Linked DNA regions of Sus scrofa. The protein of the gene in region 2 binds, or shares a complex with, the protein of the main gene of each other region. Links are inferred from orthologs where the notes say so. Each region holds a gene or a part of one and is shown on either strand. Other genes may lie near its edges. The genes, in order: ESPN and MYO3B.

The links.
Region 1: the proteins of MYO3B (region 2) and ESPN are in contact, whole or in part, in a crystal structure (PDB 5ET1), measured with the Mus musculus proteins. The link is inferred for Sus scrofa from reciprocal best matches to the Homo sapiens genes MYO3B and ESPN. Residues at the interface, in XP_017174528.1 of Mus musculus: Arg1223, Arg1224, Gln1226, Gln1227, Pro1228, Lys1229, Met1230, Leu1231, Ser1232, Ser1233, Asp1236, Thr1237, Met1238, Tyr1239, Tyr1240, Asn1241, Gln1242, Leu1243; in NP_997570.1 of Mus musculus: Leu35, Ala37, His41, Arg45, Ala67, Asn69, Ala71, His75, Asp76, Ala79, Thr80, Asp101, Ser103, Leu110, Arg113, Phe114, Thr135, Thr137, Ala139, His143, Tyr144, Ala147, Thr169, Asn171, Tyr177, Leu178, Gln181, Ala203, Asp205, Met207.

The regions. Positions count from the first base shown.
Region 1 is NC_010448.4:67,282,688-67,287,135, reverse strand, and holds the start of ESPN (espin), read right to left. Parts: upstream 3,031-4,448; 5' UTR 2,859-3,030; coding exon 2,565-2,858; intron 1-2,564. UniProt on the Homo sapiens protein: Multifunctional actin-bundling protein. Plays a major role in regulating the organization, dimension, dynamics and signaling capacities of the actin filament-rich microvilli in the mechanosensory and chemosensory cells.
Region 2 is NC_010457.5:76,440,807-76,445,202, reverse strand, and holds the start of MYO3B (myosin-IIIb), read right to left. Parts: upstream 3,046-4,396; 5' UTR 2,966-3,045; intron 1-2,965.

The DNA.
Region 1 (4,448 bases), on a different chromosome or scaffold from region 2:
AGCTTGGGCAAAAGACCCCTCTCCCAGGCTGCCCAGAGGGGGCGGGCCGATGGTTTGGGCCCTGAACTGCTGAAGGGGCCATCCAGGCACCCAGGTGTGTGTGTCTCTTCTAGAAAGGGTCTGGCATGGATGCTGCTTATGTGACCTGCAGGCCAGAGGACAGTCACCGAGAGCCCAGAGGTCTGGACTCTGAGGTGGGGAGTTTGGGAGTGTGGGCACTGGTCCTAGAACAGAATGAGCTCCCAGCACTGAGGGCATGGGATGACGGAGAGGTGGGCGGGGAGCTGGGCAGGGGGGCAGGGCAGCAGTGAGAGGCAGCGGGTTTACTAGGAAGCCCCTTGGCCCCGTGGGAACAGGTGTGGGCCAGGCATCTCCAGCTTAAGGAAGATGAATCTCAGCAGCAGAACATCCGAGGCTCCTCCAAGAAGTGTAAAAGGTAGAGTTCCCTGGTGGCGCAGGGGGTGGAGAATCTGGCATTGTCACTGCTATGGCCCGGGTCCGACACTTGGCCTGAGAAATTCCGCATGCCATGGGCGCCCCCCTCAAAACAAAGAATGCAGAAAGAAAAGAGGGAACAGAGGAAATGGGCCTGGGGGCTCGACAGGGAAGCCATGGTGGGGCTCTGGGGTGAGGGGCAAACAAATGGGCCAGACCCGAGGCAGGGAGGCAGGGGAGGGAGAGCAAACAGCCCATAGGAAGCCGAGGACACCGCTGAGAGGCCTCTGTGTGTGCCACGCTCAGGGAAGAGGATTGGTTCAGTCTGTCCTCTTGAGCGCAGGGGACAAGGCTGGCTAGAGGTGACCCAGACTGGACCAGCTCCTGAGAAAGGCCCTCGATTCCCTCTGGCCTCGGGGACTGGGTCTGAGGCTCCAGGGGGTCCTGATGGCTCTGGGCTTCTGGGCGAGGGTGGCAGTAAGGAAAGGACCACAGGCCTATGGCCTGTCCCCAGGGCTCCAACAGCTACGTGGGTCCCCCCGGAGCCTCACGTGCTGTAGCCCACACCTTAAAGCTGCTTATCTCTCTGGGCTGAGCAGGGCCCCAGATCCAGGTCATCCTCCCCGACACACACACTTCCGCCCCCAGCACCCAGGCCCCAAGGCTAGAGGGCGGGAGACCTGATAAGCTGGGCACAGGGCCACCTGCTCCTTCTCCTCCTCTACAGGGGCTGGGAGGGCTTCCAGCCAAGGATCGACACTGGGATCTGGGAGGCACACTGCCTCCCAGAAGAGTGGGCATGGACCACGTGCCAGGAACTCCTGATAACAGAGCTTGCCAGGAGATAAGGGCCGTCTCCCAGGAAGGGTGGGATGGGGGGCTTTGCCTGAGACCAAAGGTGGGGGATGGACCTGGCCACCCTTCTGGTACAGCCACCCGGCCCCTGCCTCCTCTCCATCCATATCCAGTTAACGGTGGTCTTGCTCGGTGGAAAATCAGCTCTGGTTCCTCCCTTCACTGGCTTTTCCCCTGCAACCAGAGCATCGCGCAGATTCCTGACCAGCCTACAGGACCCTCGAGGACCTGGCCCTGCTGGCTTCTCCCTCCCTCCTGGCTCCAAAGATGCTCGCTCCCCTGCCATCCCTGCCACGGGACAAGACTGTGTCCCCTCAAGGCTTTGTCCTTCTTGCTCCACGTGTGTGGAACTCTCTGACTGTCCCCTGGTCACTTCTTTCCCATCAGCCAAGACTCTCGTTGAAGGTCATTCCTCGCGGATGCCCTCCCTGGCCACCTTGTCCAGGCAGTTCCCGGGGGCAAACAGTGCCTGAAGGTACCTGGTTTACTTTCCAGCCCGAGGTTTTGCTGTCTGTTGCCCTGATGGACTGGCAGCGGCAAGAGAGGAGCACACCTGAATCCCCAGGGCCAAGGACCTGCTGGATGCTCTCTTTGCAGCAGGATTGAGCAGGAGAGCTACCTATCAGGGCCTGAGCTGCCTCCTTCTCCAGCTCAGGAGAGGCAGACTGGCTGATCCCAGCTGCAGGGAGGGGGGCACTGAGTGAGACCAGGTGGGGTCTCGGGGTGGAAAGACTGAGGCTGGGCTGAAGGAGCTGGGAGGCGGAAAGCTGCTGAGGTCCTGAGTCAGCTCAGGTCCTGGGAGGCACCCCTCTTCCCAAGCCCCGACTCCACCCCCACTGCTGGCCATGAGGAAACGTGCAACTGAGCCTGGGATGAGCCAAGGGTTTGTGCCCCTCCCCTTTCCAGACCTGATCCTGGAGGACGGGGGCTTCGGATTCTGCTGCCCAAGGCCCTGGTACCCCTCCCACTCTCCAGGGCTGCCTGGCTCCGTGTGTTCCCCAGCCCCAGCTTAAATACTATCCCAGCTGAGCCCCATTCTATTCTGGTTTCCTATCACCCAGGTGCTCTTCTAGGCGGCGGCCAGGCTTGCCAGAGCAGCTGCCCGGTTCTCAACCTGGGGAGCCCACCCTGCCCAGGTCCTCTGGTGGGAGTCCGAGGGAGGCTCAGCGGGAGGTTCCCGGCCCACTCATCCCTGAGCCCCGCGGGCCCCTGGCCAGAACTCCCTGCTGGGGCGGAGGGGGCCTCCCGGGCGCCCAGGAAGTGGCCGGACTCACCTGCACTCCGCAGCCGCCCTGTGAGAGCAGCCACTGCAGGCAGGCGAGGTGGCCGGTGGCGGCGGCGTCGTGGGCCGGCGTGGCGCCGTTGCGCGCGCGGGCCGCGGCGGGCAGGGCCGCCTCTTCCACCAGGAAACGCAGGCAGTGCAGTTTGCCGGCGCGGGCCGCGTGGTGCACCGGCAGCGCGTCCAGCGGGTCGCGCAGCGAGGGCCCCAGCAGGCGGGCGGCGTGCAGGGACCGCAGCACGTCCAGGTCGCCCTGCCGCGCCGCCTGCAGCGCCTGCTCCAGGGCCATGGTGCCGCCCGCGGCGCCGCGACCCGCGCTCAGCGCGTTCCCCGGGGCGCCATGCCCCTGCCCTCGGGCCCCGGGAGAGCCCGCGGCGCGGCCGTCGGGGGTCTGCCGGTCGGGAGGCGGAGCGGCTGCCGGCCCGGTCTCTGCCCCGCGCTGCCTCGCCCGCTCCGCTCCGCCTCCGCCGCGCTCTGGGCCCGGGGCCCCAGCGGCGACCCGCTTAAGCCTCGGGCCCGCCCCCCGCCCCGCCCCCGCCCCGCCCCGCGTCGCCCGAGTCCCTCTCCCGCCTCCGCCGCGGCCGCAGAGGCCGTGCGCCCAGGGACTTCTCTCCTAACTTCCCTCCCGTCCACAAGGAGACCACGGAGGGTGGCCAGACTGGGTTCGAATTCAAGAGCCCTCCGGGCGCTGTCGGGCAGAGCCTCCCGACGAATTCATTCATCAACCCAGGGCCAGCTCCAGGCGCTGGGGACACGAGCCAGCATCAATGACCGAAATTCCAGGGAGGGATCAGAGTGAGATCAGAAGAGGAAAGCGGGAAGATAAGAGAGTCGTAGGGGCTGCGTGGGCAGCAGGGCCACCTGAGGAGGTGCGGTGGGCTGGGCTTTATTCAGAGGCTTCGACGAAGACGCATTCCAGACAGGGGAGACTTCCAGGGCAACGGGGGCGCCAGAAACAGGACTAACGAGTCCCTGAGGGGCTCTGGGTCCATGGCCCGGCACGTGGGACGGGTGCTGGGCCCTCGGCCCTCCTGGTTCCCTCCAGACCCCAAGAACTGCCCTCAGAGCCTCCCAAAGGAGGGACAGAGGGGCGAAAGGGGAGAGGGGGAAATGCCTGCTGCGCCCTGGTTTCCAGATCTAGAGACCCTGGGCTCTGGGGTGGGAGGCGTCATCCTGAGCTCCAGGGTGAGAGATGGAAATCAGGCATGCAAGGACTGGGGGTCATGGGGAGATGCACCAGGGCAGCCACCCAGAGAGCAGAGTCAGGACCCCTCCCCAAGTTACAGGAAGGCCTTGGGAGAGCGGCGGGCCGGGAGAGCACACGTGCACCAAACCACCCTGCCTGCTTGGCCGGAAGCCCTTCGTGGGAGCTGGAGGGAGGCACAGCGCTGGACAGGAGGAAACACTGTTAGCACAGTTGCACATCCGGCAACCTCGAAACATCCTGTGCTTCCCCCCCCCCCAGCCCCCCGGCACAGGATGGTGCTGGAAATGCTGTGGAGTGAAGCTGTTTCCAGGAACAGTGGGAGTCTTAGGGTGGAATTCGGGGGCTGTGGCTGAATACAATTCCCTGAGGATGCCACCAGGTGGCGCCACATGCAATGGCCGCCTGTGCTCCATGGCACCTTTGTAAACTGGGATCTCTGGAGCTGAGTGATCAGGTAGGTTTCCAACAACTTCCACCGACCCCCACCTGCCTCACTCCCCCATGGGACTTGAGGATGCTGGGGTCTGGGACCCTCGCCCAGTGGTTTTTGGACCAAGAGAGGGAGGAGTCTCCCTGAGGCCTGTGAGTGGCGGGGGCGGGGGTGCTTTGAGGAGAAAGAGCTAAAATGGCTTGTTTTGAGGGCCCCTCCCTTGTGCCTCCACCATGAAAAAA
Region 2 (4,396 bases):
TTATTAAGAACTTTTTGCCTACATTACTCAAAACTAGGCTTTGCGAGTCATTACAAGAAGTAAAAGAAATAATCAGACTCTATTCTAAAACAAGTTACATTTCCAAAGACATGCAGGAAGAGATGCCTCCTGCCAAGTGGAATAATGCTAGCACAGCACTTTAAACAATATTTCACAAAGAAGGACAAAGTCAATATCCATCAAGCATGACTGCCCCTAATGTCCAAGACCCGTACATTAGAGGGCAAAATGAACAGTCCAGACAGATAAAAGTTTCCTAGTAAAATTACTGAATGTCAAGGTAAAGAGAGAATTTTTCAGGTACAGAGGAGACACAGACACACACACATACACACACTCCAAAACACAGTGAAAAGCAAAAAAACAGAACATAAAGCTCAGGCTTCTCTCCACACCAAAGCTCAATACAGGAAAATTTGTAATCTATGTGTACAAAGGTCTGCGGGAGATAAAAGTATGAACAGATATTTTTATACTTAACCCAAGTGTTAGCCAATAAAAATAATAATAAACCAAACTTGGGGGGAGGGGAAAGTTTCTTGACTTTCTAAAGATGATAAATGAAGAAATTGAGAGTTAAATATACTGTTTAAAATTATAAAGTTTAACCAATTGAAATGACAATATTAACAAATTATTTTGTTAATGTGTTCATTTTTTCACTCATCTAAGTCAAATAACCGATAAATTGATAAATAGAAGTAAAAATCACTATACAAAGTTATAAAAGGAATCTCTAAAAGGCCACAAAATAGAGGATAAATCTTTGACATTACATTAAAAAGTACACATGCTCATGTAGACACATAATTATACCACAGGAAGAAAAAACAACCCATGAGGAAAGAGATAAGGGAAGCACTAAAAATCGAAAATGTAACATGAATTAAGAAATATGGCTGCAAAATTTATTATACCAATAAATATAGGATTATTTTGTGAGAATGAACCAAATCTATAGTGATTTGCACTAAAGTAAACTGTTTAAGAGTCTTTTTTATGAATCAGGAAGATTAAAAGTAAAAAGAGGTCAAAGAAAAGCCAGTCAAATGGTAATGACAACAACAACAAAAATAATCATAGTAGTAATATCAGAAAAGAGTAAATTCAAGGCAAAAGTGGCTAAAGAACATAAAATGTTACCAGTACATTCAATAATAAAATTGAGCAATTATATGCATCAAGTACTATTCTATATGCTATATCAAGTACTATTCTATATGTTTAAATCAGTAATGAGTTTCTAAGTTTATAATCTTTATAATCTTTATAAGTGAAAGATTTACAGCTATAAATTATAGTAATCCTTCAGTAATGAAAGCAAATTGTTAAAATTTATAAAAACATAAACTTCTAGAAGACATCAACAACATACAATAATAGTAACAGATATTATCAGTCATGACAGAACAAAGAGACAAAATAAAAAATAGGTATTATACAATCAATATGGTGAATGATCTTCGTGTGTGTGTGTGTGTGTGTGGATATAACTTTTATAGTACTGACAATTTTAATTTTAAAAAGAAAGAGTACATTATTTCACAAGGTAAAGTCTCAATGCATTCTAGGAAAGCGGAATTGGAACTGTATGTTAATAATAAAAACAAGAAAAAGCCCAGATACCCGAAAATTTCAAAGCTCCCTCAGATCTTGACGCAAAGGAAAAAGTTAAAACTAAAATTAGAGTATATAATAAAATAACTATATTAAAGATATTAACCTACCAAAAAACTTAGCAAGCTGGGCTCAAGGCAAAACCTTATAGCATTAAACATTTTACCAAGGCAATTTTAATAAAAATGAATTAAAAAGCATTCTTTTCAAAAAGGTAGGACCTCCCTCATGGCTCACAACATAACTACTCTGTTGGCATTGCTTCTACAGTGCCTGTGGCTAGACCCCTGGCTTGGGAACTTCCATGTGCTGCCAGTATGGGGAAAAAAAAAAAAAGTAGAGATGGATCAACAAAATTAACCTAAGGAAAGTATATGAAAAAAATAAAAGAAGAAATTGATGAGTCAGAGAACAGAAAAATAATAGAATACATAATTAAAGGTATAGTTCTCTGGGGAAAAATAAAACCTAATAATAAAACAGTTTAGTCAAGAAAAGGAGATTGTTTCTACTAAAAAACAAGATACAACCTCATGGTTCATCGTTATAGAGATATTATGTAACAAAACACAATAATTACATAAAATGAAATACCATCTAGCCCCATATAACCACTTAAAGAAGGTAAGTTTTGTTTCAACTAATATGGAAATAATGACAAAATATACAATTCCAGGTTATTTTTAAAGTATTGAAAAACAAACAAATTTTGTGTAAATGAAAATAAAATTTACACTCATAGCCATTTTATGAATATGTTTATGTGTAGGTATCTCTCTATAGAATTGTGTATCTTTTTATATTTTCCAGGCTACAAAACTCAACCTTTAGCGAGAGGTACCAGGAATCAAAGAGGTTGAAAAAGAGAGAAATTAATATAATTTTTAAAAACTTTATACCTGTCTATACTAGTCATATTTTTGCTGAGACATGTATTATTTATTTTTTAAAACAAATAAGGCATCTCTAAAGAGGAGACAGTTTTGGCCCAGATGCACGCTGGAGTCATGGAAAAGCAGAAACCGCATGAAAGTGTAGAACACATCTTGGGAAGAAAAGCAAAGCAGAGAAGGAAAAAACCAAAGAGAACTGGTGAGTGAGTTCACTACGGAATTCTCAATCCAGGCCCCCTGAGGCCTGCTAAACGTTGCTGTTTGTCCTTGAGTATCCATGAAATTTCCTACTGCATTCCTCTAAGAAGCACCCCCAACCCCATTCTCATGAGTCCCTCATAGGCTGGTTTTAGTTGCTAACAACCCCAAGGGAGTCTGGCCCTGTACCCTTGCTGAACATCCTGTGTGATTCCATAGTGGAGCCGAAGCCTTACCTTGCTGAAATAATAAAGCAATCTGAAACATGCACCCTGCAAACTCCTGTGGTCAGTCATGCCTAGCAAGTACATTTAAATAGAAACTTGTCAAGCAACATTTTACACTTATGAGAAAATTCATGTGGATTTCCATTTCTGAGAATGTTACTCAGACTACTGTGTCTATATGTTACAGGACGTTCTACACGAATCACAAATCATAGAACTGTGCTTTCCGAGCTAGAGGTTAGCTTTTAAAAAGAAATCAGAGCAGTAAACAGTGAAAGGTCAGAGCAAATTAGTACAAATATTAAATATGAACACCCAGAAACACACACAATTAAAAAACACACACCGTATAAACTTGAACAAATTAGAGAATAATTCGAAACTAATACAGAAGCAAGTGCATGATATCACGGCAAAGACTGGTAAGAAAGAGACTAGGTCCATCTGTAGGAACTGGCTTCTTCACAACCTGTCTGCACAGGGTTAGATAGAACCCACTCAAATATAGCTCGGATGTCATCTCTTCTAGGCGGCCTTTCCTAATCTTACTAGAGGGGCCCTTCCTTAATAGCCTCTCTGTCCCGAATAGTCTCTCTGTCCCATGTGCTTGTTTCTAGCAGTTGTCACATTGACCGGCATTTCCTGTTGACATGTCGGTCTTCTCCACCAGCAAGCCCCAAGAGAACAGAGGCCACATCTTAATAATTTTCTGTCTCATCAGCAAATCCTCATTGTATAAGTGCTCAGTAAATGTTTAATATGGGATTAAAAATCAGAACTATAAAACCAATGAGGTTTTCTTACAGTTAAAAAATAAGTGTTGTTTCATAGAACACCAAGAAAACACAGAGAAATAAAACAAGAATATTACAACCCTCATAAAGTCCCATATCCAAACATAACCAGTCTTATTTAGTATTACTGCAGATACAAACACACACACACACACACACTCATACAGAGATGTATGACTATGTTTGTTTTTTTCACAAGGCAGAGGATTTGGTTTCCAGCCAAATCTCCCTACTGAATTTCGATTTCAAAGCTTCCTATCAATCATGAAAGTCAAGGCACTTAATCCTCATTCTCACCCTCCAGGGCATCAGCCACTGCTCACGGCCTTTACCTTTTTAAAACACTACCCCCCCCCTTTGTTTTCTTCACATCTTACTTCCTTGGTTCCTATTCTGCCTCTCCACCTGCTGCATCAGCTTCCATTCTCCGATTAATGTGACTGTTGAAACTGAAGTCCTCCCTCAGTCCTCCACTTGTCTTCCAAATGACGCATCTACACCCCAGGCTCTCACATCCTAGCAAGCGGCACCATCTTTTCAGCCCTATTTCCCGTCTGAGCCCCAGCCCAGGGTTACTAACTGCTTGCCACGCATTTCCCCTTAGTTGCCTCCTCTGATCCTCAAACATATGTAAAACTAAACTGAC